Linked DNA regions of Sus scrofa. The protein of the gene in region 7 interacts with the protein of the main gene of each other region in a pairwise test. Links are inferred from orthologs where the notes say so. Each region holds a gene or a part of one and is shown on either strand. Other genes may lie near its edges. The genes, in order: TXLNA, RNF8, POP5, HYPM, ABI gene family member 3, SPERT and CEP44.

Evidence for each region.
Region 1: the proteins of CEP44 (region 7) and TXLNA interact in binary tests that used the Homo sapiens proteins (3 or more experiments, as listed by UniProt). The two-hybrid records come from large-scale screens. The link is inferred for Sus scrofa from reciprocal best matches to the Homo sapiens genes CEP44 and TXLNA.
Region 2: the proteins of CEP44 (region 7) and RNF8 interact in binary tests that used the Homo sapiens proteins (3 or more experiments, as listed by UniProt). The two-hybrid records come from large-scale screens. The link is inferred for Sus scrofa from reciprocal best matches to the Homo sapiens genes CEP44 and RNF8.
Region 3: the proteins of CEP44 (region 7) and POP5 interact in binary tests that used the Homo sapiens proteins (3 or more experiments, as listed by UniProt). The two-hybrid records come from large-scale screens. The link is inferred for Sus scrofa from reciprocal best matches to the Homo sapiens genes CEP44 and POP5.
Region 4: the proteins of CEP44 (region 7) and HYPM interact in binary tests that used the Homo sapiens proteins (3 or more experiments, as listed by UniProt). The two-hybrid records come from large-scale screens. The link is inferred for Sus scrofa from reciprocal best matches to the Homo sapiens genes CEP44 and H2AP.
Region 5: the proteins of CEP44 (region 7) and ABI gene family member 3 interact in binary tests that used the Homo sapiens proteins (3 or more experiments, as listed by UniProt). The two-hybrid records come from large-scale screens. The link is inferred for Sus scrofa from reciprocal best matches to the Homo sapiens genes CEP44 and ABI3.
Region 6: the proteins of CEP44 (region 7) and SPERT interact in binary tests that used the Homo sapiens proteins (3 or more experiments, as listed by UniProt). The two-hybrid records come from large-scale screens. The link is inferred for Sus scrofa from reciprocal best matches to the Homo sapiens genes CEP44 and CBY2.

Annotation. Positions count from the first base shown.
Region 1 is NC_010448.4:88,658,889-88,662,850, forward strand, and holds the start of TXLNA (alpha-taxilin), read left to right. Parts: upstream 1-1,162; 5' UTR 1,163-1,317; intron 1,318-1,548; exon of another isoform or gene 1,549-1,615; intron 1,616-1,853; 5' UTR 1,854-1,885; coding exon 1,886-2,063; intron 2,064-2,890; coding exon 2,891-3,220; intron 3,221-3,962. UniProt on the Homo sapiens protein: May be involved in intracellular vesicle traffic and potentially in calcium-dependent exocytosis in neuroendocrine cells.
Region 2 is NC_010449.5:32,955,812-32,959,311, forward strand, and holds part of RNF8 (E3 ubiquitin-protein ligase RNF8), read left to right. Parts: intron 1-461; coding exon 462-551; intron 552-2,661; coding exon 2,662-2,769; intron 2,770-3,500. UniProt on the Homo sapiens protein: E3 ubiquitin-protein ligase that plays a key role in DNA damage signaling via 2 distinct roles: by mediating the 'Lys-63'-linked ubiquitination of histones H2A and H2AX and promoting the recruitment of DNA repair proteins at double-strand breaks (DSBs) sites, and by catalyzing 'Lys-48'-linked ubiquitination to remove target proteins from DNA damage sites.
Region 3 is NC_010456.5:40,523,135-40,527,410, reverse strand, and holds the start of POP5 (ribonuclease P/MRP protein subunit POP5), read left to right. Parts: upstream 1-1,476; 5' UTR 1,477-1,588; coding exon 1,589-1,608; intron 1,609-1,681; coding exon 1,682-1,824; intron 1,825-3,225; coding exon 3,226-3,375; intron 3,376-3,558; coding exon 3,559-3,642; intron 3,643-3,744; coding exon 3,745-3,860; 3' UTR 3,861-4,276. UniProt on the Homo sapiens protein: Component of ribonuclease P, a protein complex that generates mature tRNA molecules by cleaving their 5'-ends. Also a component of the MRP ribonuclease complex, which cleaves pre-rRNA sequences.
Region 4 is NC_010461.5:33,887,947-33,890,790, forward strand, and holds HYPM (huntingtin-interacting protein M), read left to right. Parts: upstream 1-1,286; 5' UTR 1,287-1,885; coding exon 1,886-2,227; 3' UTR 2,228-2,344; downstream 2,345-2,844.
Region 5 is NC_010454.4:25,436,116-25,438,962, reverse strand, and holds part of ABI gene family member 3, read right to left. Parts: intron 1,388-2,847; coding exon 1,211-1,387; intron 1-1,210. UniProt on the Homo sapiens protein: May inhibit tumor metastasis. In vitro, reduces cell motility.
Region 6 is NC_010453.5:21,617,903-21,621,955, reverse strand, and holds the start of SPERT (spermatid-associated protein), read left to right. Parts: upstream 1-1,253; 5' UTR 1,254-1,287; coding exon 1,288-1,341; intron 1,342-4,053.
Region 7 is NC_010456.5:15,883,600-15,887,099, reverse strand, and holds part of CEP44 (centrosomal protein of 44 kDa), read left to right. Parts: intron 1-1,231; coding exon 1,232-1,393; intron 1,394-2,374; coding exon 2,375-2,581; intron 2,582-3,320; coding exon 3,321-3,396; intron 3,397-3,500. UniProt on the Homo sapiens protein: Centriole-enriched microtubule-binding protein involved in centriole biogenesis. In collaboration with CEP295 and POC1B, is required for the centriole-to-centrosome conversion by ensuring the formation of bona fide centriole wall.

The DNA.
Region 1 (3,962 bases), on a different chromosome or scaffold from region 7:
CTAGCATCCATGAGGACACAGGTTCGATCCCTGGCCTCACTCAGTGGGTTAAGAATCTGGCATTGCCATGAGTTGCAGCGTAGGTCACAGATGTGGCTCGGGTCTGGCGTTGCTATGGCTGTGGTGCAGGCTGGCAGCCACTGCTCTGATTAGACCCCTAGCCTGGGAACTTCCATATGCCGCAGGTGCAGCCCTTAAAAAAAAAAAAAAAAAAAAAAAAAATCCAAGCACATAGGTTGCTGTGTTTTATTCTGTTGTCTACAGACAAATGGAAAAAGAATTGTGATTTCACATTTTGAGAAAAGCTTGGCTATTTTTCCCCTTTAGCACCAGTGCAACTGGGACTTGGTAGGAGTGGGCCAAAGAAAAGGCTCAGGAATCTGCTGAAACCAAACTTCCCCTTACAGGGCCTCAGCACCTTCCAAAGAGGGACTCAAGGTGGAAATGGGGATGGGAAATTAAGTATTTACTTTTCCAAGTTACCTTGACTCACCCTCAAGGAAAGCGCATCATGGTGATTATTTCTTCCTGAGTAAGAAGCAGGGTAGTCCAGTAGTTGAGATGGGTGCCAGACTTCCTGGCTTTGAAACTGCTCTAATCAGTCAATAGCTATGTGACCTTGGACAATCACCTAACAGGTGTAAATTGAGAGTAACAAATACTACAGTATTTATCTGGAGTAGTTACTGGGAAAGCTAGCATTCAAAGAACTACTGTTATTAAAATTTTCTATAGGAATACGGAAATCGAGGCTCTGGGAATGAAAAGAATGCCCGGTCACATAACAAATTAGTGATGAAATTAGGACTGGAAGGAATACAGATCTGATGTCCAGCACCGTATTTTATCCCTCGTCCTCAGAGTTCCTAGATAGTCACAGATATCCTCAGCAGGAGGGAAGGACGGGGTTGAGGTGTGCGGGGAAAAAGCAGCCAGGCGCAAGGCTCTGGGAGCTGAATCATAACTTCTGCGTGATGGAAAGGAGGTTGACGTGAGTACCAGTGCAGAATGACTGGCTGCTTTCGGACCTCCTGGGTCTGGGCTCCAAGAACGAAAGCCCTGTTGCAGCTTGGGAGTCGGGATCAGCCCGGTGCATGGAGGGACATGTAGTCCTTTCTGTCCCTCCACCCCCCCACTCCGCCTTCCCAACTCACCCGCCTCAGAGGCCGCCTTCGCTTCAACTTTCCCAGCAAGCCCCGCGAGAGCGCGGGCTATTGATTGGCCGCGGCGCGAGCAGGCGGCTCTGCCGGCAGCAGTTACCCAGGGTTTCCGGTGAGAGGCCAGAGCAGGAGAAGCCGTCGGGACGTCGGCGGTGGGGTGCGTATTGCGTCGGTTAGGGGTACAAGGCAAGCAGAGGGCCCGGGGCCCGACGCCTTCGGACGGTTCAGGGAATTACGCCGATTCCGCACGAGGACTCGGGCTGGAGTGCAGGGGCCGAGGCCTGTGCGCATGCGCGGGCGGAGCGCGCGGCTGGAGGGCGCGCGGGGCGTGGGTGGCTGCGCGCGCGCGCGGGGGGGTGGGCACACGTGGGGCCTGGGGGGCGGGGAGGAACCGGGAATCCAGCGTCCCGCCACGTCAGTCCCTGGGCCTGAGCCTGTCCGGCGCACGGGCTGTGGTGAGAGGGCTGGGTTGTGCCGGGGAAGTAGCTTCGGGGAAAAAGGAGGCCTCCTCTCCCCTGCTGTTGGGCACACCAGACTTCCCTGACCGACCAGAGATAGGGAGCCCCACTGGCTCCCATCCGAGGAAGGCCGGTCGGTTTAAGAAGCTTTGCGGGTCCGGTGTGGAGATATCAGATCCAGGCTGCGAAGAATTGTTTAAAGTCTGGAAAATAGCAAGTGTATTTGTTTCTATAGGTTCTGCTCATAACCTAACGTTGCAAACAACAATGAAGAACCAAGACAAAAAGAATGGGGCTGCCAAGCAATCTGGCCACACTTCCAACCCCAAAAACACCCCGGGGCAACCGGAAGCAGGACCAGAGGGAGGCCAGGGGCGGCCCAGCCAGTCTGCTCCCACGACAGAAGCTGAAGGTTCCACCAGCCAGGCTCCAGGGAAGGCTGAGGGTGTGTGCCAGCTCTGCTTTTCCAATGGGCAGGGGGAGGAGTTTATGGTGCGTCAGTCTAGCTTCTGGGGTTAGAAGCCAAGGCCACTGTTTATCCAGAAGGGAGGAAATGTAGAATGAGGGGAGGACACCACTGAGTCCTTGAGTGCCCACTCTGCGCTGGGGAGTTGATAGAGCCTCCCACCCTAAGCACAGGGACAGAACTCTCCTGAGAGAAGCTTCTGACAGGATTAAGTCAGGTTGGCAGTCAAATGAGGCACCCAACCAGCAAATCAAAAACACCACTTTCAGCAGTGGGTAACTGCTATTCCTATTTGAGGCATTTCTGGAACTTTTTTTTTTTTTTCTTTTTTTTCTGTTTCTTAGGGCCCCACCCTAGGCATATGGAGGTGCCCAGGCTCAAGTCGAATTGGAGCTACAGCTGCCAGCCTGCACCACAGTCACAGCAACACAGGATCCCTCACCTACTAAGTGAGGCCAAGGGTCGAACCTGAGTCTTCATGAATACTAGTCAGATTCGTTTCTGCTGCACCACAACGGGAACTCTTGGAACTTTTTTAATAGCAAGAAGTGACATTTGCAGGTGGACTAGACCTTGAGTTCCTGCTACATGATGCCACCTCTGTGTTGGGTGGTCTCCTTACTTGATTTCTCTTATAACAAGCATGGTTGGGCAGAGGTGAGAAATAGTTTTATCAGTAATAAAACTGAGGTTTAAAGAAGTTAGGTAACATTTAACCCAAACTAGTAAGTTTGGGCCTGAAAAAATCCCAGCCAGTGGCATAATGGTCTTATTTCTGACTCTGCCCCTCATCCCTCCTGCTGCAGGAGCACAAGCCAAAACTGGGGCCCTCCGTGATGTCTCAGAGGAGTTGAGCCGCCAATTGGAAGACATCCTCAGTACATACTGTATAGACAACAATCAGGGGGGCCCAGGCGAAGATGGGGCACAGGGTGAGCCTGGTGAACCTGAAGATGCAGAGAAGTCCCGGACCTATGCCTCAAGGAATGGGGAGCCTGAGCCAGAGACCCCAGTAGTCAATGGTGAGAAGGAGCCCTCCAAGGGGGAGCCGGGCGCAGACGAGATCCGGGCAAGTGACGAGGTCGTAGACCGAGACCACCGAAGGCCCCAGGAAAAGAAGAAAGCCAAAGGTCTAGGTGAGCAGAGGGCAGCTGCTTATGAGGCTGGTGAGGGGAGGGAGTTTGAATCTGACATTCCTGGGTTAGCCTGCTGTGCCAGGATTTGGAGGAAACACTACTTCCAGAGCAGCTACTTACTTTTTGTTTTTGTTTTTTCTAATGTTTTTTTCATTCAGCGGGTTTATTACATTTATACCTGTACAACCATCATCACAACCTGATTTGAGAACATTTTCAACCTACATAGTTTAATGAGAGCAGGGGCTGCAGGACCATAGCATAGAGACGTGCAGGTTCACTGCACAAGGGCTTCTAGCCTGGGAGCAAGCGGGAACCGAAGTCTAACCTGCTCTCTTTGAGAAGATGGAAAGAAGGAGGCCTGAGTGGTCAGTCCTCTTCAGCCAGCACCACTTCTAACTTGCTGTGTGACCTTGGGCGAGACCTTTCTCCTCTCTGGTCCTTGGTTTTCACTTCTCTACACAATAAGAGAATTGGATTAGATGAGGTTGAAAACTCAAATAAAGCCAAGCTAGCCAGAGGCACCCATGAGGACCAAGAGAATGCCTGCTTTATTCAAAGGCTTGACTGCCACCTGGCCCCAGGTGAGACGATAGCATGGAAAACTACAGGCTAACTGTAGCTGGCATTTGTTTTTTGTTTTCTGTTTGGTTTTTTTTTTTTTTTTTTTTTTGTCTTTTGTCTTTTTGTTGTTGTTGTTGCTGCTATTTCTTGGGCCGCTCCCACGGCATATGGAGATTCC
Region 2 (3,500 bases), on a different chromosome or scaffold from region 7:
ATTTCTCCCTGATTATTTCTTAAAAGCTATTCCCCATGCTGGTGGTCTCAGTTACTAGTTCTGGAGCGTTAGTTCCCAGAATCACCTGGGTGGCTTTTTTTTTTTTTTAATGCACATCCCTGGACCCCCCAAAGCCAAACCTATAGACTCAGACTCTCTGGAAGGCATTGTAAATTCTTCATTTGGTTTAAATGGCCACAGAGGTTGGGTTGTTTCCAGAGCCATTAATAGATTTGATGGCCTCCCTCCCTCTCTGCCTCTTCCCCTGGAAAAAGCAGCGTGTTAAATGAGAAGTCCTCAAGGAACAAGAGCAGTACTTTGAATTGCCAGTCCATTGATCTCTTGAACCAAAGCCGCTGACAAAGGGAGGGACAGTGACTAGGGGAGGGACAGGCATGTGTGGCTGAAAGGAACGGTACAGTGCAGCTCATCTTGAGTATGTATCTGCTGTGTTTCTGCAGCATCGGGCTCTGATGGAAGAGCTAAACCGCAGCAGGAAGGACTTTGAAGCAATCATTCAAGCCAAGAACAAAGAGCTGGAGCAGACCAAGGTACTGGAAAGAAGATGAAGGTTTAGAATTTGGTTAGTACATGCAACTCAGCATTTTCAACAGTGCAAGGGTTGCTGTGGTTTATGCAGGGAGAGATTATGGCTGTTTCCTGTCTCAGGGGAAATAATCTATAAACGTATTTAGGCCTGTAGACGGTTCTGCCTGTAAGACAGCATCTATTTCCTTGCCTCAGTCAGAAGCAAAATGCTGGGAATAAGACACCCTGCCATCTAGTCTAGTCCGTTGTCTGTGGTGGATGCCCCTTCAGAGCATGTCACTCACACAGGCTAAGGAGTGGTGCAGTTAGACTGAGAAAGAGTTCATCTTCACGCATTTATGGAATTACTTCCCATGTCCATTCAGTGGAACTCTTAAATCAGAGGTTGTAAACTCAAATGCCCCCTGAGGTCAGGCCGGCAACAAGTTAAGTGGCCTGGGAGAAAGAACACAGTGGGGAGCTGGGAGGCAGAGGCACACTGGAGAGGGGCACCACCCCACCCTCACCTCCACCCCAAGAGGGCAGCTCTTCTCTGCTGCAGCCAGTCCCTGCCTTCCCAGAATGCAAGCCCGGTGTTGTCAGAGCTGAGTTTCCCACAAAAGATGGAAATCCAAATGTTTAAGTGAAATATCCTGGTTTTCAAGGATTGGCAACAGTTCGGTTTTTTGATACCATGAGTGACAAATTGAATAAGCATGCAGACTGGGTCCAGTCCCCCGGCCACCACTTTGCAACCTCTGACCTGGAATTAGTGCCTGAGTCTGACCGCATCTCTCAGCCCACCCTGCCTCATGGGCAGACCTGTAGTGGAGGACAGAAAGGAGACACTCACTTTGCACCTGGGTCGATATTCGTATCCTCCCTGTAAGTCCCATGGGCCTTCTTCCCCAGCCTCCCAGAAACCAGCACATCTTTTTAAACATAGTAGTTCAAAAGTTTTCAGGAATCTTGACTCTAATTAGAAATGGATCCAGACCCTCTTTGCTGCCTTAAGCAGTCGGACAGTCTTACTTTGATTAGAAGAGAAAATAAAACATGAAAAATAAATCAACCACTCAATATACCCCAAATGGCTTTTCTTCTCCCCCTCAGGGGCTTCTGATCCTTTCTATTTTGTAATGATTTTTATTTTTCACGTTATAGCTGGTTTACAGGGTTCTTTCAATTTTCTACTGTACAGCAAGGTGACCCAGTTACACATACATGTATATATTCTTTTTTCTCACACTATCAGGCTCCATCATAAGTGACTAGATATAGTTCCCAGTGCTATACAGCAGGATCTCATTGCTTATCTGTTCCAAAGGCAATAGTTTGCATCTATTAACTTCAATTCCCAGCCCATCCCATTCCCTCCCCCTCCCCCTCGGCAACCACAAGTCTGGTTCTCCATGTCCGTGATCCTTCTGTTTTGGAGATGAAGTGCTAACTTAATGAATGTTGGCTTCAAGAGAGCACGCCTCTATCCTCCCTAAAATGTGTGTCCACAGACAAGAGGTCTGACCTCTTAGGGAAAGCCCAGGGAAATTGCACTGCAGGAGTGGGAAGTGACAAACATCATAGAGTGTGGGGCCTGAAGGTACTTCACGAGACCATCTCTCCAGCCTCCCGCCTGTAGGGAGCATGGGTATTATCCTTATTTTATAGGAGAGGCAGCTGCAAAGCATACAAGGGACCTTATACACTAATGCAAGCATCCTCCTTTATAGACTGTTCCCGTTTCTTTCTTTTTCAGTACGTTCTTGGTTTCTTGGGATGATTTTATGTCACCTCTGAACTGCAGTTTGCTATAGGATCTTAATGCCTTCTTCTGGTCTTGGGTGGTTGGTGGGGCTGGTATGTAAATTTTGGGAAGGAGACAGACTACGGTGCAAATACATACTGAAAAAGTGGAGAGAGAAAAAAGGCATGTGGTGCCCTGTATTAGAAAGCAGTCCTGAGAAACAGCATCCCTTGGGGAAAGAGTTTTAATCTCCTGTTGCTGCGCCAGGGTGAATTTTTAATTTAGACTCCTTCTGAGTCCTACTGTAGACTATTAACCCTGCTCCCTGTCCTGTTTTGCATTCTTATTGGTTTTCCCGAATGACAGATGGGGGATGTGTGTCTTTGCAGGAAGAGAAGGAGAAGGTGCAAGCACAGAAGGAGGAAGTTCTTAGCCACATGAATGACGTGCTAGAAAACGAGCTTCAGTGTATTATTTGCTCAGAATACTTCATTGAGGTAACCGTGAGCAGTGGCTCACACTTTCTCACTCTCCCAGCCCTGAAGGGAGCCTCGTCTACACCGGCTGCTTCTGCTACAGAGAAACATTCTGAAGAGATATTTCTTTCAGGAACTTACTATAGCTCTTTGACTTCAAAGTGACCTCTAGAAATGGCCACTTCTCATTTTTTTTTTTTTTTTTTTTTTTTTGCAGTCTTCTTTGCCTTCACTGTCTTTTTTTCTTATTTCATTTGTTCTTGTTGAGTCTCTGTTTGGTAGAATCAATATTTTGGCCTGTAATAAAGCCTTTATCTCTTTGTTGATGGGGAGAAAACAGCTTGATTTCAAAGAACCACTGAGAGCTGCCCCACCCTCTCCAGGTCAGAATGTCCCGTGTTTTCTACTTTTCTGACAACTGCGTGCTGTTGGATTTTGTGCCCAGTGTTTTGCCCCCATAGGTTTTTTTTGCCTCTAAGGAGCCACTTGATTCTGGTGGAATCCAGAATTGAATGGCATCAGAATTTTGAAGTATCAGAATAAAGCTGCTCAATAAAGCTGTTCTTTCTTTGCTCAGAATGGGCACAGTGCTGAGAGTGTCCATGCAGTGCAGGCTTTAAACAGAGGGGTAAATGTCATTGATGCAAGGTCACTGGGAATTCATTGGCCAAGTGGAGCATATTTCAGGGACTCTGAGCTCCTTATGAAAATGAAACACCTCCCCAAGGTTACCATTTGTTACACTCTTTTGT
Region 3 (4,276 bases), about 25 Mb from region 7:
AACTAAGTACTGGCTATAACAAGAAAATCTGGAATTAATTTAAATATCCATCATGGAAATATTGACTAGATCAGCAGTGGTACATCCAAACAATGCAGTCTGGGGCAACTGAAAAATAACTTTGTAGAACAGCTGGCATGAAAATATAGTCAAATGACAAGAATGAATCTTACAGACATTATGTTGAAAGAAAGGAGCCAGACATGCACGCACACACACACAAATATGCTGCTGGAGATTTACATTTATATAAAGTTCCAGAAGAGAAAAAGCTAATCTGTCATGACAGAAGTCAGAATATAGGCTACTTCTGGGAAGGTTTTTGGCTCGGAAGAGAGCACAGGAACCTTCCTGAGTGTTGGAAATGTTCTATCTCTTAATCTGGGCAGTGGTTGCAAAAGTTTATACATATATAAAAATTCATTGAGTTATGCACTTAATATGCATTTTATGTATGTTATGCCTCAGTTTTTAAAAAGATATTCAATGTGAGGGGAAAGAAGAGTAGTAAACAGTATGATCCTATTCTTAAAAAGAAAATGGAAAATATAAATTATCATACAGTGGAAGGTACATCTCGTACCTTTTTTGTCTCAGGGCCCCTTTCCATTCTTACTAAATTATTGAGGATCCCAAAGAGCTTTTGTTATGTGAAATATATTGATACTCACTATGTTTATTAAAACAGAAATGTTTAAAACACCATGCACAATTCTCTTAGCCATCAGAGCAATGTCAGCACATGTCACTGGCCTCTGGAAAACTTTACTGTCCACTCAGAAAGTGAAAACAGCAAGTAACACCTTAGTGTTACTACAAAAGTAATTTGACCTCGGGGGACTCCCTAAAAGAATCTGGGAAAATCCAGTGGTTCCTGGACTTCACCTGGAAAACCACTGGAACAGGGGTAAAATGTTGGAAGAAAATCCACTACATGATAAATTATTCTCTCTAGGTGCTGGGATTATAACTTATTTTTATTTGCTTCTTTGTGCTTTTCTGTTTAAAAACAAAAACAAAAAACAAACCAAAATAACCAGAAAATATAACGACCACGGATTGTTTTTGCAAAAAAACAAAAAAACAAACAAAAAAAAACAAGCCAATACACCCAACTCCATAAGGTTATTGAAAGGCCTAAACAGTAATAACATATTTGGCTGTATGGAGAAATTAAACCGAGCTCCAAACTGAGAATAAGAGTCCGATTTCCCCTATCAATCCCTGGCCTGGGGGGTGCAAGGTCTTGTGCTCAAATGTTCCACCGTCCAGCTTGGGTACTATGTTGCAAGGTAATGGAACGTCCTGGAGGTTCCAAATGCCTCAGCTGCATCCTAAACAGCAAACTCTGGCGTGGAGCACAACCACTCATCACAACGGGTTCAGTTGAAAGTCTAAGCGAAGAAATGAGCAGGACGCCTGCGCTCGGCAGAGGGAGGCGGAGCTCAAAGGAGACTGACACGGGGCTCCGCCTACATTCTAGTTCCGCCTCCCTCTCTGAGTGGCTGCCAGGCCAACTTCCCATTGGCCGCCGACGAGAAGGCAGACATCCGGTTTGAGTGTCTGGACGCCCGAGGCGGATACGAACATGGTGCGCTTCAAGCACAGGTAAGCAACCCTTATTCCTGTCCCTGCGGTCCTGGCCCCGGCCCAGCACTCACCGCCCTCTCGCCTGCCCCAGGTACCTGCTTTGCGAAGTGGTGTCTGAGGACCCCCGCTGCCGTCTGAATCTGGAGGACCGAGTGCTGGGCGGCCTAGTACGGGACACGATCGCGCGCGTGCACGGAACTTTCGGCGCGGCCGCCTCCTCCATCGGCTTCGCGGGTGCGAGGGTGTTGGGGAACCAGGAGGATGGCGGGATCTGGAGGGAGCAGTGGCCATTGGAGGGAGAAAGAAGGGGCACGGGCGACCTTGGAAGCTGCCAAGCCCTGTGCACCATTTTATGTAGGGTGTCGTCCTTTTTAGGAGTTTCAGAACCCGAGCCTGAGGTCTGCTTGAGTCCAAACTTAAGCGGAGAGCTAATACCAGTAGGCAGTGGGCAGAAAATACCAGTCGGCAGAAACCCCTATACTATTTGACGTGTGGTTTTTGATTGAGTTTAATAGGATGATGAAAACTAAATGAGGAAAGACTTGTATAGTTCCGAGTAAGTTATTTGACGGGTTACTTTGACATCATATGAAAAAAGCATTGTCAGAATTACCCCTGAAAAGCCCTGCATAGGGGCCTGTGAAGTACAGAATACACAGTTGTGTGTATGTGTAAATGCAAGAGAGGACCCTCCTCCACAACCACACTATGTAAATTCATTCCGTTTTTTACCATATGCTTGAAATTGAAATCTGGAGAAGGTAATGTACCTAGAGGCAACCCTTCTACCAAGGTGAGACTCGGTTGCTGGAAGAACCTACATAGCCCAGTTGCAGAACTTGTTTTTCAGCTAAGGGAAAACATCCTTCTGAAGAGTATGGATTTCTGCCACCCCCCTCCTTGGGTTAACTAGTTTGTGAATTAAAAGTGCATTTTAGGAGTTCCCTTTGTGGCTCAGCAGTTAAGGAACCTGACTAGGATACAGGAGGATGCATATTAGACCTCTGGCCTCTCTCAGTGGGTTAAGGACTCAAGGTTGCCCTGAGCTGTGTAGGTGGCAGAGGCAGCTTCGATCCCGAGTTGCTGTAGCTGTGACATAGGCCTGCAGCTTTAGCTGATTCAACCTCTAGCCTTGGAACTTCCATATGCCATGGGTGTGGCCCTAAAAAGCAAAAAATTAAATTCTAAATTCATTCACCAATTCTGAGTGGTATGTAAAGGCCCTAGATGTTATTTATCTCCCATTATTTTCCTTCAGAAATCAGTTTTTACTCATTGATGGCATCCCAAGTGCCACCGCCTTGAATGTTTTCTGGTACATAGGCTCTCAGTTACCTGAAGATTTTTTTTTTTTTTTGCTTTTTTTAGGGCTGCACCCACAGCATGTGGAGGTTCCCAGGCTAGGGGTCGAATCGAAGCTACAGCTGCCAGCTTACACCACAGCCACAGTCTACACCATAGCTCATGGCAACGCCAGTTCCTTAACCCACTGAGCAAGGCCAGGGATCGAACCAGCAACCTCATGGTTCCTAGTCAGATTTGTTTCCGCTACGCCATGACAGGAACTTCTACCCTAAGATTTTAAACGTGCTCCTGAGAATCCATTTTCCCAAAATGATTTTTTTCCTGCTGCAGTGCGATACCTCAATGCCTATACCGGAATAGTGCTACTTCGATGCCGGAAGGAATTCTATCGGCTCGTGTGGTCAGCTCTTCCCTTCATCACATACTTGGAGAACAAAGGACACCGTTATCCGTGTTTTTTTAACACCTTACACGTGGGAGGTAGGGGTGCATGTGTTATGGCTGCTGATTTTCAATAGGAAACAGGTTCAGAGTTCAGTCTTCAATAGTGGGTGGGTCCTCCTGCTACCTTGCCAAGAGCAAGATAATTTTTCCTAGCTCTGCAAGACTCTGAGGCAAACACCTTTTGCGAGCTGTTGACTGCAAAGCTCTTTCTTGTGTCAGGTACAATTAGAACATGTCAGAAGTTCCTCATTCAGTACAATAGGAGACAGCTGTTGATTTTGTTGCAGAACTGCACTGATGAAGGTAAGCCCTGCTAGCCCCGTGCCCACTGAGCAGTGACTGACCTCCTCCAGCTGAATGAGAGGTCACTTCCAGAGACTTTAATAATCCATGCTCTTTCTCCAGGAGAGCGGGAAGCTATCCAGAAGTCTGTTACAAGAAGCTGTTTACTAGAAGAGGAGTCCACTGGGGAGGAGCTTTCAGATAGTGGCGGTGAGGAGGCTGCTGAGACAATGGAGTGAACTTTTGCAGGCTGCGTTGCGCCTAAGCTTCAGGGCCTACTTGTTGGACAGGGAATTCTGGGAGGCACTAGCACCTTCTACAGTTCTCAAACTGGATGACTGCTGATCAGTGGCCAGTTACCAGCTCAAAATGAATTGACTTATTGTTTAAAACTTGCCGGAGTTCCCGTCGTGGCGCAGTGGTTAACGAATCCGACTAGGAACCATGAGGTTGCGGGTTCGGTCCCTGCCCTTGCTCAGTGGGTTAACGATCCGGCGTTGCCGTGAGCTGTGGTGTAGGTCGCAGACTCGGCTCGGATCCCTTGTTGCTGTGGCTCTGGCGTAGGCCGGTGGCTACAGCTCCGATTCGACCCCTAGCCTGGGAACCTCCATATGCCGCGGGAGCGGCCCAAGAAATAGCAACAACAACAAGACAA
Region 4 (2,844 bases), on a different chromosome or scaffold from region 7:
ATTAGATTTTCCAGGAGGGGTTTGTGAATCAGCCTCTTGTTTAAGGACATGAATCCCCAAGACATACATGGGCGACTGCAAGATTTTTGAGTCCATTAAATAGGCAGAAACAATGTCGTCGCTAACTGAAAGGATAGAGAAAAGATGACATGAAAGAGGCTATGGGACTCCCAAAATGTCATAAGCGGAAACAGGCTGATAAAACTACTCAGCTGCAAACATATTCACCATTCAAAAGAAAAGAAAGATGATTTTGAGGGCAGAGCTATGGTCCCAGATGAAATCATGGCATTAGAGGGAGGCGCCTCAAGCCACAAAAGATCATTCTCAGGACTTGATAGCTGAGGAGGTTTGCCTGCTTGGATGCTGAAATTGCTTGAATCCGAGTTCTTTCTGCCTTCTACTTTCTCTTTTGGGAGAGCAATGTCTGTAACTCTTATCAGCAGCAAATGAAGCAAAAACAAGGCAGTAAACACAAAATTAGTGGAGAGGAAAATGAAAATAAGAAAAAAGTGAGAAGAAACAACACTTGGTGTCTTGGCCTCACTTAGGACAGGCAAGAAAAGACACATCTGGGCTGAAACTGGGCACCCAGTACAGCTTTTGCCCTCTCTACAATATTGTCCTGCTTCTTACAGCTAAATCCATTGAGTATCTCATTGGAACTTCCCAAATGGTCAAAAGATGTTTTTCAAACTGTGCAAAATCAAGACACTCATAATAGACATGAGGTGAACATGGGTTAAAAGATTCCATTTTGCTCAGTGAGGGAAAGGGAACATGTTATAACTCGTTCAAAAGAGAATCCAAGTGGATGGGGTCCCGCTGTATAGCACAGGGAACTGTATCTCTAAGCACTTGTGGTGATGGAACACGATGGAGGATAATGTGAGAAAATGAATGTGTGTGTGCGCGCGCGTATGTTTGTATGTATGTATATGTAAGATATATAAAACTGGGTCACTGTGCGGTTTAGTAGAAATTGACAACATTGTAAACCAATTACAATATTTTTTTTTCTTTTTTCTTTTTTTTTTCTTTTGTCTTTTTAGGGCCGCTGGGTGCGGCATATGGAGGTTCCCAGGCTAGGGGTCTAATCGGAGCTACAGCTGCTGGTCTATACCACAGCCACCACAACATGGGATCCGAGCCGCATCTGCAACCTACACCACAGCTCATGGCAACGCCGGATCCTTAACCCACTGAGCAAGGGCAGGGATCGAACCCGCAACCTCGTGGTTCCTAGTCGGATTCGTTTCTGCTGCGCCATGGTGGGAACTCCCAATTAAAATAAATTAAAAAAAATTTTTTTTAAAAAAAGAATCCAAACATTAGATACAGGAGTATTGATCAAGAATATTTAAATTGTATTTGGGAAATAACTATTAAAAATAATAATTATAACATTTAAAAGAAAAGAATATTTAAATGAATGTGTAAGCAAAACTAGTTTCATGACATCATGAGAGGGGGGACAGTTTCACCTCTTCTAGGCAGTACATTTACTATGTTTCTCACCAACCTCCCACTAACAAAAGGTTATAAAAACCTTCAAAGACATTACAAGGCTAGAGTCGGAAAATGTGGTATGGTGTCCGAAAGATAGAGACAAGTTTGCCATTGAAATATACAGTTATTTCTACAACGTTAAGGTCAGGGGCAGTTCCCTCCATATGAGGGTCCAGTCAGAGTCCTGTCATGGACATGTCTTGGCTGAGGCTCAGTTAAGGCACAATGGAAACCAGTGATGTCCCAAAGTCTAGGATGTCACAAAGGGACTAGACCATAGCTATATCATGTGCAGGGCTGAATGCGGGTGTCTCAAGAGGTCCAGTCCAGCAGGAACATCAAGCAGAGCTGATTGAAGCCGAAGCCAGCAAAGATCATGTCAGGAAAACAAAGCCCCGAGGGCTCTTATGAGGCTCCAACTCATCTTACAACAACCGAGCCACAGGTCCCTGTGAGCTTCGTGGACCATCTTCTGCAGGAAGATCAGTATGTCCACACTCTGAGTTCATCCACAACACATTTCCTCTTCTCCGTGCTCGAATACCTTACCGACTACATCCTGGATCTGGTAGACACTAAGGCCAACACCGGCAGGATGCAGATGACCCCACAAGACGTGGAGAGGGCAGTGGACAGCAACGCAGAGCCCCATCGGCAGGTGAAGGATACAGCTTTTGCTCTGTTTGATGAAATGCCTGGATCCCGAAGGAATGGCTGAAACATGGGTCCTAGAGCCTGGCAGGAGCCCTCACAGCCTCAGCCTAAGGCAGATCTCAGCTGAGGAGCCCAGCTTCTGTCATCAGTAAATGTTAACGGATTTAGATCCCTGGCTGCACCTCAGATGCCTGTCCGTTTCTGTCACGTGTCGTTGAGGCGTCCGCGGGACCCCCAGGAGGGGCTCGGGGTGCGGGTGAGGGGCCGGGAGGTGTGAGTGCGGGATGCCGGGATCTCGGGGAGCCGTTTCCCAGGGCGACGGGGCGGGGCGTGGTCCTGGTGGGCGGGGCTGGCCGAGGCTGTGGGGGGCGAGGCCCTCCTTCCTCCGTGGCTCTGAGGGCGCCCGGGCCTGGGAGGCCGGGGTGGGCAGGGCCCCCGAGGATGCTGAGTTCCCAGAATGGCGGTGGTGACGGGGGAGGGGCTGCAAAGCAGGACCGAGGACCTGAAAGCTTCATTCCTGCTGCAGCAGGTCTACAAGTAGGCGACGATGGCAGTGGGCTGGGTGGAGAGGGTGGCAGAGCCCTTGGCGTGAACTTTGTTCGTGACTGTCTTTTGATTATGATGGGGATTTTCTCAGGAGAGAGTGGCAGAGCAGTTGGCATGAACTTAGTTCAAGGGGGA
Region 5 (2,847 bases), on a different chromosome or scaffold from region 7:
TTCCCAGCCCCTCTTCCCACCCCCCTCACCCGCTGCCTGGGTCTTGGGTCTGAAGGCCGCTTCCTCCTCTGCCGAGCCGCACCCTTTTCCCCCCAGCAGCCCCCAGCTCGCTGGTCCCCAACCCTGAGAAACCCCAACCCCCGCGCGGGGCTGCGGAGGTGGTAGGGAAAGGACCTCCCATTTAGAATCGTCCCCTGTTGGCCGGCCTGCGGCACTGGCTTTGGGGAGTTGGGGGCAGAGAGGGGCAGCACCCTTGGAGTGTTCAAGTGACAAGGTGCAAACACACGTGCCAGGGAGCACCTGTGTGACGGACAGCGTTTGCCCAAGAGAGGGTGCACGGGGAATGATGTCTTCCGCTGTCCTTCAGGAGGGACAAGACAAAAGGGACTTGAGCTGAAGCACGAAGAACTGAGGTTGGACAATGGGTAGAATGGGCTGGTGACTGAAGGAGGGAGTGTACTTTCTCTTTGGGGGAAGAAGGTGTGTTAAAGGATATGGGGTGTGGGGGCGGAGTTCGCGTCGCGGCGCAGTGGTCCATGATTCCGACTAGGAACCATGAGGGTGTGGGTTCGATCCACACCCTCGCTCAGTGGGTTGAGCATCTGGCATTGCTCAGTGGGTTGAGCATCTGGCATTGCCCGTGAGCTGTGGTGTGGGTCCCAGCCGCGTCTCGGATCCTGCGTTGCTGTGGCTCTGGCGTAAGCCAGTGGCTGCAGCTCCAATTCGACCCCTAGCCTGGGAACCTCCATATGCCGCCAGAGCGGCTCAAGAAAAGGCAAAAAGACAACCAAAAAAAAGAAAAAGAAAGAAAGAAAAGGATATCAAGGGGTCATTTAGATACTAGGAAGCTTCTAGTGTCATCTGGAGTGTTGCAGGATCTGACCCTTGTCTGTGACCTACAAAACGGCTCATGGCAACTCCGGATCCTTCACCCACTGAGCAAGGCCAGGGTTCGAACCTGCAACCTCATGGTTCTAGTCGGATCCATTAACCACTGAGCCACAATGGGAACTCCCGGAGTCTCCTCTTTAAGGAGGCCTTGTGGGGTGGGGCAGCAACTTAGGATGATGGCTTCAGGGACTGAGGAAGGAAAGAGGCCGCAGGTGGGGACAAGAACATGGCCGTGGAAGAGAGCTGAGGCTCTAGAGAGAAGAGATCGGTGAGGCAGAAGAGGGTGGGCTGTAGAGAAAGAGGAGGGGCCCCTCTCTACCTTGATCCCATGGCCAATGTCATCCAGGCAACCAAAGTTGAGGGGTTTCCTGTAGTAGGGCGTCAGGGGAGGTAGGCTCTCAGGGGCGATGATTTTCTGGCTGGGGGGCAGCCGCTGGACAGTGGCTAAAGTACCGATCTCCCTTCGGGCCACCTTCTCCATATGCATGTTCACCATCTGCGACACAGACACAGGGTTGGAGGTGACAGTGAGATGGCCTCTGCCCAGCACCTCGCCCTTTAAGATGTTGGCGGGGGGGAGGGGGAGGACCAGAGGAGGCCATGAAGTCCAGAGAGAAAGAGGGAGGTCTGTCCCCATTCCACACAGCATTTGGGAAAAGAGTGGCCAGGGGAGGATGGAGCTACTTTGGAGCAACTTCCTGGCGGAAGAGAACAAGGGTTATTTATTGTTCGCTGAGCAGGAACCAGAGGCAAAGGGAAAGCACAGCATCCCTGGGGGTGCAGGGAAGAGACGGGGCTGGCTCGGGAGCAGAGCGGGTCAATGCGGAGGTGGCTGAGAATTGTGGCTGGAGCAGCTCTCCCTTTGGGGGGACACTATGAAGTGAATTAACTTCCTCTTGGAATGTTCTGTGGAGAAACCTGCAGCCCCGGGAGGGCGGGACCTCCAGCCTGCTGGGGTGAGAGGAAAAGACACACCCACACGGAACCTGTGGAGGATACACAGGCCAGGCTGATGTGTAACTGGAGCTGTGCGGGTGGTTTATGGGGCAGTGGCTCAGCCAAGGATCCAGGAAGGAAGGAGGAGGGCGTGTGTGCTAGATAGGGTGGGGGGTAGTGGCAGTGCTGCCAGGGCTGAGGATACCTTGCCAGGCAAGCACTGTGGGTCTGGGATTTTTCCTAAGTCACTGCCTGTGTTAGGATGGAAACTGGGTCCATTTGCCTCTTTCCTGTCCCATGCAGCCCCCGTGATGGGGAGAGCCTACTGTCTGTCGTATAGGAGAGAACTCAGGGGAAAAAAAGTTCTGCCAGGGAGTTCCGGTCATGGCTCAGTGGGTAACGAATCTGACTGGGAACCATGAGGTTCTGGGTTCTATCCCTGATCTTGCTCAGTGGGTTAAGGATCCGGTGTTGCCGTAAGCTGAGGTGTAGGTCGCAGATGCGGCTCAGATCCCACTTGGCTGTGGCTGGTGCCTACAGCTCCCATTAGACCCCTAGCCTGGGAACTTCTTTATGCCATGGGTACGGCTCTAAAAAAAAAAAAAAAAAAAAAAAAAGGAAAAATCAAAAAGAAAAAAAAAGAAAAGTTCTGCCATCACAGAATTCCTGGTCTGATGGAGCAGCAAGGCCCACCCCTGAGACATAGCTACAGAGACAAGAGGGCTCAAAAAGCCTGGCATGTGCGTTTGGACATGGAGGAAGGCTGCAGAAGGTGTCCAGGAGGGGATTAAGAGTTGGGGGCTGAATTTCCCGTCGTGGCGCAGTGGTTAATGAATCTGACGAGGAACCATGAGGTGGCAGGTTCGATCCCTAACTCCACTCAGTGGGTTAAGGATCCGGTGTTGCGATGAGCTGTGGTGTAGGTCACAGACACAGCTTGGATCCCGCTGTGGTTCTGGTGTAGGCTGGTGGCTACAGCTCTGATGAGACCCCCAGCCTGGGACCTCCATAGGCCACGGG
Region 6 (4,053 bases), on a different chromosome or scaffold from region 7:
AGAAAAGGTGGTAGGTTTAGGCACCTCCACTCCAAAAACTTTCAGAAGGCTTTGCCATCAACTGTAAAATATCTTATCAGATATCACTTTCACATCCTTTCAGACTCAGATTTTCATAAAGTACATTATTAGCAAGAAGGGATAAGTGAGCAGTAGAAAGTCTTGTTTTCTGGGTGAGCATCTGAGGCCCAGAGAAGGGGCCGGGAAGCAGAAATCCATTTATTTTCTCTTTTCCGCAGCACTCGAGGCCAAATTTTACAAGAAAAAGAGATACCAGATGTGAAAGCCTAGAAATTCCAATCAATGTGGTTCTGCCTCAGGTAGGGATAATCACAGAAGGATGCAACCCTTCAGTTAGCCAGAATAACCCTCCCCTTTCAAAACTCTAGCCTGAGGACATGGAGCAGGCAGAGCCAGCAAGGCCTCCGATTCTAGTTGTAGGGCAGCTGCCAAGCCAGCAGTGTGGCTGGGGGAGGGCACTTAAGCCATTCTGAGTCTTGAATGGGGGGTGGGGAGGGAGCTTGTTAGGTGATCTGATAAGATCTTCCGGCCCTACCCCTTGAAATCTCTGTGACACTCTGAAATAAGCCAGTCTCTCCAAAATTAGATCTTTTGGCGTTGGCTGTTCTGCAACTTCTCTGGATTTCTGGCAGGTCCTGGGAGGTGGCTGGCAGACAATGAGATCTGAGACTTGGAATCAAAAACGCAAGACCTGGAGTTCCCATTGCGGCCCAGCACTAACAAACCCAAGTAGTATCCATGAGGACACGGGTTCGATCCCTGGCCTCATCCAGCGGGTTAAAGATCCGTTGTTGCTGTGAGCACTGGTGTGGGTCGCAGAGGAGGCTCGGATCTTATGTTGCTGTGGCTGTGGTGTAGGCCAGCGGCTACAGCTCCAATTCAACCCCTAGCCTGGGAACCTCCATATGCCGCCGGTGTGGCCATACAAAGAAAAACAAACAAACAAAAAACAAAACCAAAAAACATATGACTTGAACCCATGAGGAGACAACCTAGGACTCAGCCCAAGGGGTGCAGGGTCATCTGGGGGTGTCAGGAGAATTAAGACCTGCTTTTTGCCCAAGACAAGAGTATGGGGGGGCGGGGCTTGCAGGATTCCGAATGGAAGCCCGTGAATGGATGACGGGCTGGAGATTCTCAGCTCTCCGCCTGCTAAGCAGCCGTTTCCCTGGAGGGGTTCTCCTGATTGGATTGTTTCCATGGCTATGTCACAAAGGGGGGGCAGCCTTGCTTCTTCAGAGTCACCTAAGGCCCTGCTGGAAGATCATGGCTGTGCAGCCGGAGGGGCTGAAATGTAGGGCGGAGGAATCCAGCGTAGAGGTAGCCACCCAGAGAGCTCTGTCCAGGGCTGTGTAGGAACAGGACTGACTGCCCCTGGGCATCCTGGCCTTTCGGAGGACGTGAGGCACTGCTGCTGCGCACAAGTCCTGTGTCAGGTTCCGGACCCTCAGCAGGATGCTCCAGGCCGGCAGTCCTGGGTGGGGGAAGGGTGCGTCTCTAAGTTTAGATGAGATGTGGGCGCGTTCAGGTCCGGTTTGTTCAGGGTGGTGTGGCTGTAGTCTGTAAGTTTAGATGATCTGAACTGGGCCACCTCTAGGACTGTGAGGGACCAGTGTGCTGACTCGATCTCCCCAGAGGAGATTGTGCATGGCTGGCGGCGGGGCAAGGACCGATCTGCTTAACACGGCGGGGGTTGGGGGGGGAGAGAGGGAGATGCCCTGAGCACTGATGTGTGATGTGATCACGTGGTGGGCATGGGGCCAAGCAGCGTGAGGGAGACTGTGTAGGAATTGAAACCCAGAAGCCCCACTAGTAAGGCAGGGCTGGAGCTGGAGGCTTGAAACCAGGTCAGTGCCTCTTCCTCTGCTGTGCCCCCGGCTGGGCACAGGCCAGCTGCGTCTTCCCTGGCTTTTAGGACATGGTACCTCCCCTCCCCCCCATCTTTACTGCCTACCCCCGAGCTCCCTGCAGGTCTCTGCCACATTCTGCTTCCTTCTGAGACCAAGTCCATTCGTCGCAGCAGGGAACAGCCACAAGCAGCCCTGAGCCCTGCATTGCCAGAAAGCGCCTCTGGCCTCCTGGCTCCCAAACAAGCCGCCAGGCACGCATCTCAGTTACATTGCAGATGCCTATGGCTCACTGTTTGTTATCACCCTGTGGTCTTTTCAGGTCTTATTGATTTTCAGTTTTTCTTCCTCACATTAGGGACTTGTACTTTCTGAGCTCTTTCCCTCCAGCGCGTTAACCATCAGTGCCCAAGCTCTCTGCCCTCCTGGGTCCTTTTGTACATAACAATTCAGTTCGGGCGGAGGGGGGGGGTCGCAGTTCCCCAGTGAGCGCTCTCTGGGAACTTCCTAAAGGCACTGTTTACTGCCAGACCATTGATGCAGGACCTACACCAGGTCAGGATGCATTCTGACAGCGACCCCCTTCCACTCCTGCCGCCCCCCATCCCTCTCTGTTCCCTTGTCCCAGTCCCCTGGGTTTGGGTTTGTTCTTCAGAAGCTATGGACTCTGCCGACCATGCCTGCACCTCTGCCAGTTTGAATAAGCTTTAGGAAGAAGATGTCAGAAGATTCCGTGTTCAACAATTAGCAAAAATGAGCACAGAGGATGGCAGATGACATCTTTATCCTCTTTGCTGTTAATGTTATGATTCTATCAAGATCAATCACATTGACCTGTGAATTATCCTCTTATCTGCTGGCATTTATGAAAACCAACATTGACTTTCTCATGGCACTCGGGAGCAGAGTTAATTTAAAAATATGATAATGAGGCTCAGGCTTATCACCTGGTCTGAAAATTAGTGGCGTGGCTGGTCTTTCCTTCCAGCATCCTGGGGCCTCTCAGCTTCACACGCCTGAAAGGGAACCTCCGGTGGCTGAATGTTCTGTGATTGTAACCCTCAGTGACGCTGCCAAAGCAGGGCTTTAATGGACTTGGTCGGAGTTCCCAGTGTGGTGCAGGGGAAACAAATCTGACTAGGAACCATGAGGTTGTGGGTTCGATCCCTGGCCTTGCTCAGTGGGTTAAGGATCTGGTGCTGCCGTGAGCTGTGGTGTATGTTGTAGATGGCGTTGCTGTAGCTGTGGTGTAGGCCGGCAGCTACAGCTCTGGTTAGACCCCTAGCCTGGGAACCTCCATATGCCACAGGTGCAGGCCTAAGAAGACAAAACAAAAAAAACAAAACACGAGATGCTGGGGAGAAGGACAGGCCTGATGCTAAGGACAGATCCCCAACCACAGGGGGGATTTAGGCATCTGTGCGGGAGATGTTGGTGCCCAGAGCCCTTCCTGGGCCCTCAGCATGAATGCATCCTACTTATGTCACAGCTGGGAGCACATTGCTCTGAGGCCAACCTGTTTGGTTGCCTGGCTAATAAAGCCTTTGGAAAGAACCCCACAGCTATGAGTCTTCCCCTCCTGCATCCTGCATCCTTCTTTGCATCCCCTTCTTCCACGGGGAATCCCACCTTTTCCTCTCCCACCTCCTGGGTCTGCATCCACATGCCAGGGCACTGCCCACAGATCAGGGAGGAGACCAATCCTTTTCTTCATGGGAAACCTGGCCAGGCTGCTCTGGGCGCTGGGATCACTCTGGAACTTTCCGGGTGTTCCAGGAGCTTTTTATGGGCACGAACCCCTTGTTGTGAAATGTGTGGTCCTAATTCCCAGGACTGGGAACGTCAAAAAAACCTAAGGCATGGGTCACTGTCCCTAGAGAATTATATTTTATTCATCCGGGGAGAAGATGGGATGGGACATAGGAGAACCACTGCAAAGTAATGATAGCAACACACATGCATAATAAAATATCTGGACATTGCGAAGCGCTAGAATGAGCATGCAGTTTGGAGTCAGATATCCTGGTTTTAAACCCTTGCTGGCTGTGTGATCTCAGGTAGAAACACAGTAGCTCCTTTCAGTAAGATATTGCCTATAAATATGGAAATCAATTAGCACACCATCACATAGTAGTCATTCAGTAAGTGTTATTCCCTTTTCCTTGTTCCATACAGTATAAGGAAA
Region 7 (3,500 bases):
CTTTCAGGTGTCTTCCATCTGGGGCAGACCCTTTTGAGATTGAAGGATAGGTTTCCAGATGAATAATCAATGTGTAATTTGATAAAGGATGAGTATTTTTTGGCTGAAGTAAAATCTAGGGAATTATTTTTCCCCAATTCAGAATATGTTATATAAACAGAGTCTATGAAGATATTTATACTCTATGCCTTTATTAAAAATATTGACATTTAACTGTAGGTAAAAGGTTCTTATGTCAGTAACTTAAAAAAAAAAAAAAATGCCTGTTTTGCTCCAGGTAATGAGGACAAAATAAAAGGAATGTTAAGTATCTTGTATCCTTTCCCAACTAGAATTTTTCTAGTTGGGATTTTTTTTTTTTTTTTTTTTTTTTTTCATTTTTGGCTGCCCAGCAGCATATGGAGCTCCAGGGCCAGGGATCAGATCCAAGCCTCGGTGGAAGCAATGCTGGATCCTTAACCCACTGCACTGGGCCTGGGATTGAACCTGTATCCCAGCACTCCCAAGATGCCACTGATCCTGTTGCACCAAAATGGGAGCTGGTAAATAGGGATTTTCTTAGACTAATTTTTTTTTTTTAATCTTCACTGTGGATTAGGCATAAGTACTTACTAAATATGACTTACGTAACCGATTGCATTTTTTCAATCTTCTATGGTGGAGGTAGGTTGCAGCTGTGGCTTGGATTTAATCCCTAGCCTAAGAAGTTCCATATGCCAAGGGTACACCCGTTAAAAAAAAAAAAATTGTAATGAATCCTATGCATAGAGCTCTTGATTATCTGTATATGAGTAATTTGGTAACCTTTTAAAAGTAGCTTATTATGGAACATTTAAAACATTTACCAAAGTAGGCATTCCACAGTTCAGCTGTTTGTCAACTCTTTGCTCATCTTGTTCATCCTTCCTGTAACCGCTTTTCCCAACATCTTTTCCTCCAAATCCAAAACCTTTTGAAACAAGTCCTAGACATCGTTGAATAGATACTTCAACATTTTTGTAAAATACAAGAATCTTTTTAAGAATATGACCACAATTTTATCCTCACATAGAAAATAAAATTCTTAAAGTTTGTGATATTTGGTATATGCTGATGAGGTAGTTTCAACTTGCAGAAGTCTTAAGTGGAAAAATAGGACGTTTTTTGTTCTTTGTTTTTTCAAAATGCTACGTGTGTGTTTGAAATAATTGTGGAGGAGAACATGAAAGCCTCTCTGTTTTCCTCCGTACAGAAGAAAGCTGTGGTGATCCGCCACCTGTACAGTGAAGATGGTGTTAACATTCCTGAAGATCCATCAGCAGATGTTCATGAAGCATTTGATGTCTGTGACTTGAAGACTGCTGACCTCAAGATTCCTGAATTACAGGTTCCTGAGATTAACTGTGAGCAACAAGTAAGGATTTTGGACTTATTTAACAGATGTTGATATTTCTTCTGATAGACATGATTATTTCAGCATCTAATCTTTAGAACGTTTCTAGACTTTTTAATTATTGATCATGACATGCTACCTTTGTTACCATTACTTACGAATCAATGATCCTCACTGGATATAATCCAAAAGATTATTTATTCCTTATATTTGGGGTACTAGGTGAGTTTTTGTAGATAATGCAAAGAAGAATGACATAAGACTTCCTTGGTTTCAAATAATTCACAGTCTAGTGAGAGAGAGAGAAAGAGAGGGAGATGTACCACTTTGTTCAGTGAAGGTTCTTTACTACCTGTTCCCCATATTGATGAACGGGAAAAGTGGTGTACTCCTTATTGCCTTTTCATTTCCCTTTTAGGGCCCTTGCTGTCCTCTGCTCTCTCTCAGAACACCATTTCTATGACTTTATTGCCATAGACCCCATCATAGTTTCTAGTCTTTACTGCTGCTGCTAAAACTTCTTTTTCTGTCTTATGACTTCTGTACATCAGTATACAGTTGGCATTTATAAAAACTACAAGATGACCATTCAGCTTATTTCCTTTTTACAGCAAACTGAACAGTCTCAATGCACTGTCATTCTTGGTCACTTCCTCTTAGCTTTCTGCTAGATGTAATGAGAAGAAGGTAGTTGCAAGCTTTTTTCTTTTCTACCATCTGGTACTGTTCTATGAACTTGTATGTTAACTCATTTAATCTTTGCAAGACCCAAATGAAACTGGCACTCTTGTCCCTTTTTTTTTTAGATAAGGAAATTGAGGCATCGGGCATCTCATGTGAGCTAGGTTATGTATCTAAGAGGTCTGCCTCCAGAAATAGCACTCTCAGCTCTCTCGCTGTCCTGCCTGTTGTGGCTGTTGAAACAACACGGTGCAAATGGGAATACTTGAACTATGACAATTTCAGTTGGAATAATATTTTTAATCTTTCTCATCATTTTAGGATGTAAAAGTCAATCCTGAGATTACTGCACTACAGGTGATGCTTGCCGAATGCCAAGAAAAGCTTAGGAAACTGACTTGCCTAGAGAATAGATTAGACTCTTTGGAAACGAAAATGAAAGGGAAAGTGATGGTGAATGAAAAAACCTGGACCAATCTTCTAAGTCGTGTCACTCTTCTTGAAACAGAAATGCTTTTATCTAAAAAGGTATTTTCTTTCCATAACATTTTTGGAATATCTCAGATACAATTAAGTATTTCTTTAATTAATTTTTGTGTATCTTTTAGAATGATAAATGAGAGGGTATTTAGGTAGTGGGAAATATTTTGTTGTAATAAAGACCTCTTTAGGTACAGCCTATTTGGTGGTGGTTGTGGCTGTTGCTTTTCTCTTCATCAAATAAGATAAACTGACAGACTTGTTAAATTGAGCTTTTAGAACTGCTAATACTTGAAATACTTAAAAATGAGGTAAGATATTGTTTGTATGTATTTATAAAAAAGTCGAAATTACTTTATTCCTTTAATAGTACAAATGGCCTACTGTTACAAGGTGAAGAAAAAGTTGCCAGGGTAGGAAAAATTAAAATGATAACTTCCTTTCTCACTCATTTACTTCAAATTATAAATATTGTAGAAATAGTTACCATATTTGCCATTGCCTTATCAAATCTGAGAAACTTGTATCTTGATTTACTCAGAATGTCAATTTCTGCTCCTAGTCTGTCTATTCTTCCTAGAAAGTTAGTGAATTCAAAGTTTCTATCTCCTTCCACATTGAAAAGATCATTTTTATACATAGGAATTTTTTTTTTTGCTTTTAAATGAAAGTAATCAAAAATATTTAAACATTATGTCATCTTTATATTTAATCCTTAGCCATAAGAGTATAAAATGAGAACCATTTCTTTTTATTTTATTCTAATTAGTGAACTGTATTATTCCAGAATGACAACTATATAGAGTTTAATGAAATGAGTGAAGAGTATGCTTCTAGTAGCGACATGGATAGTCTCAATCCGGGTGAGTTCTTAGTGTATTGGTGTCAGTGATATTGGAAGGGCGTTTTCACAGAAATGATTTTCTAGTGTTTGATCATTTTAGTATCCTTAAGCCTTATTTTTTTT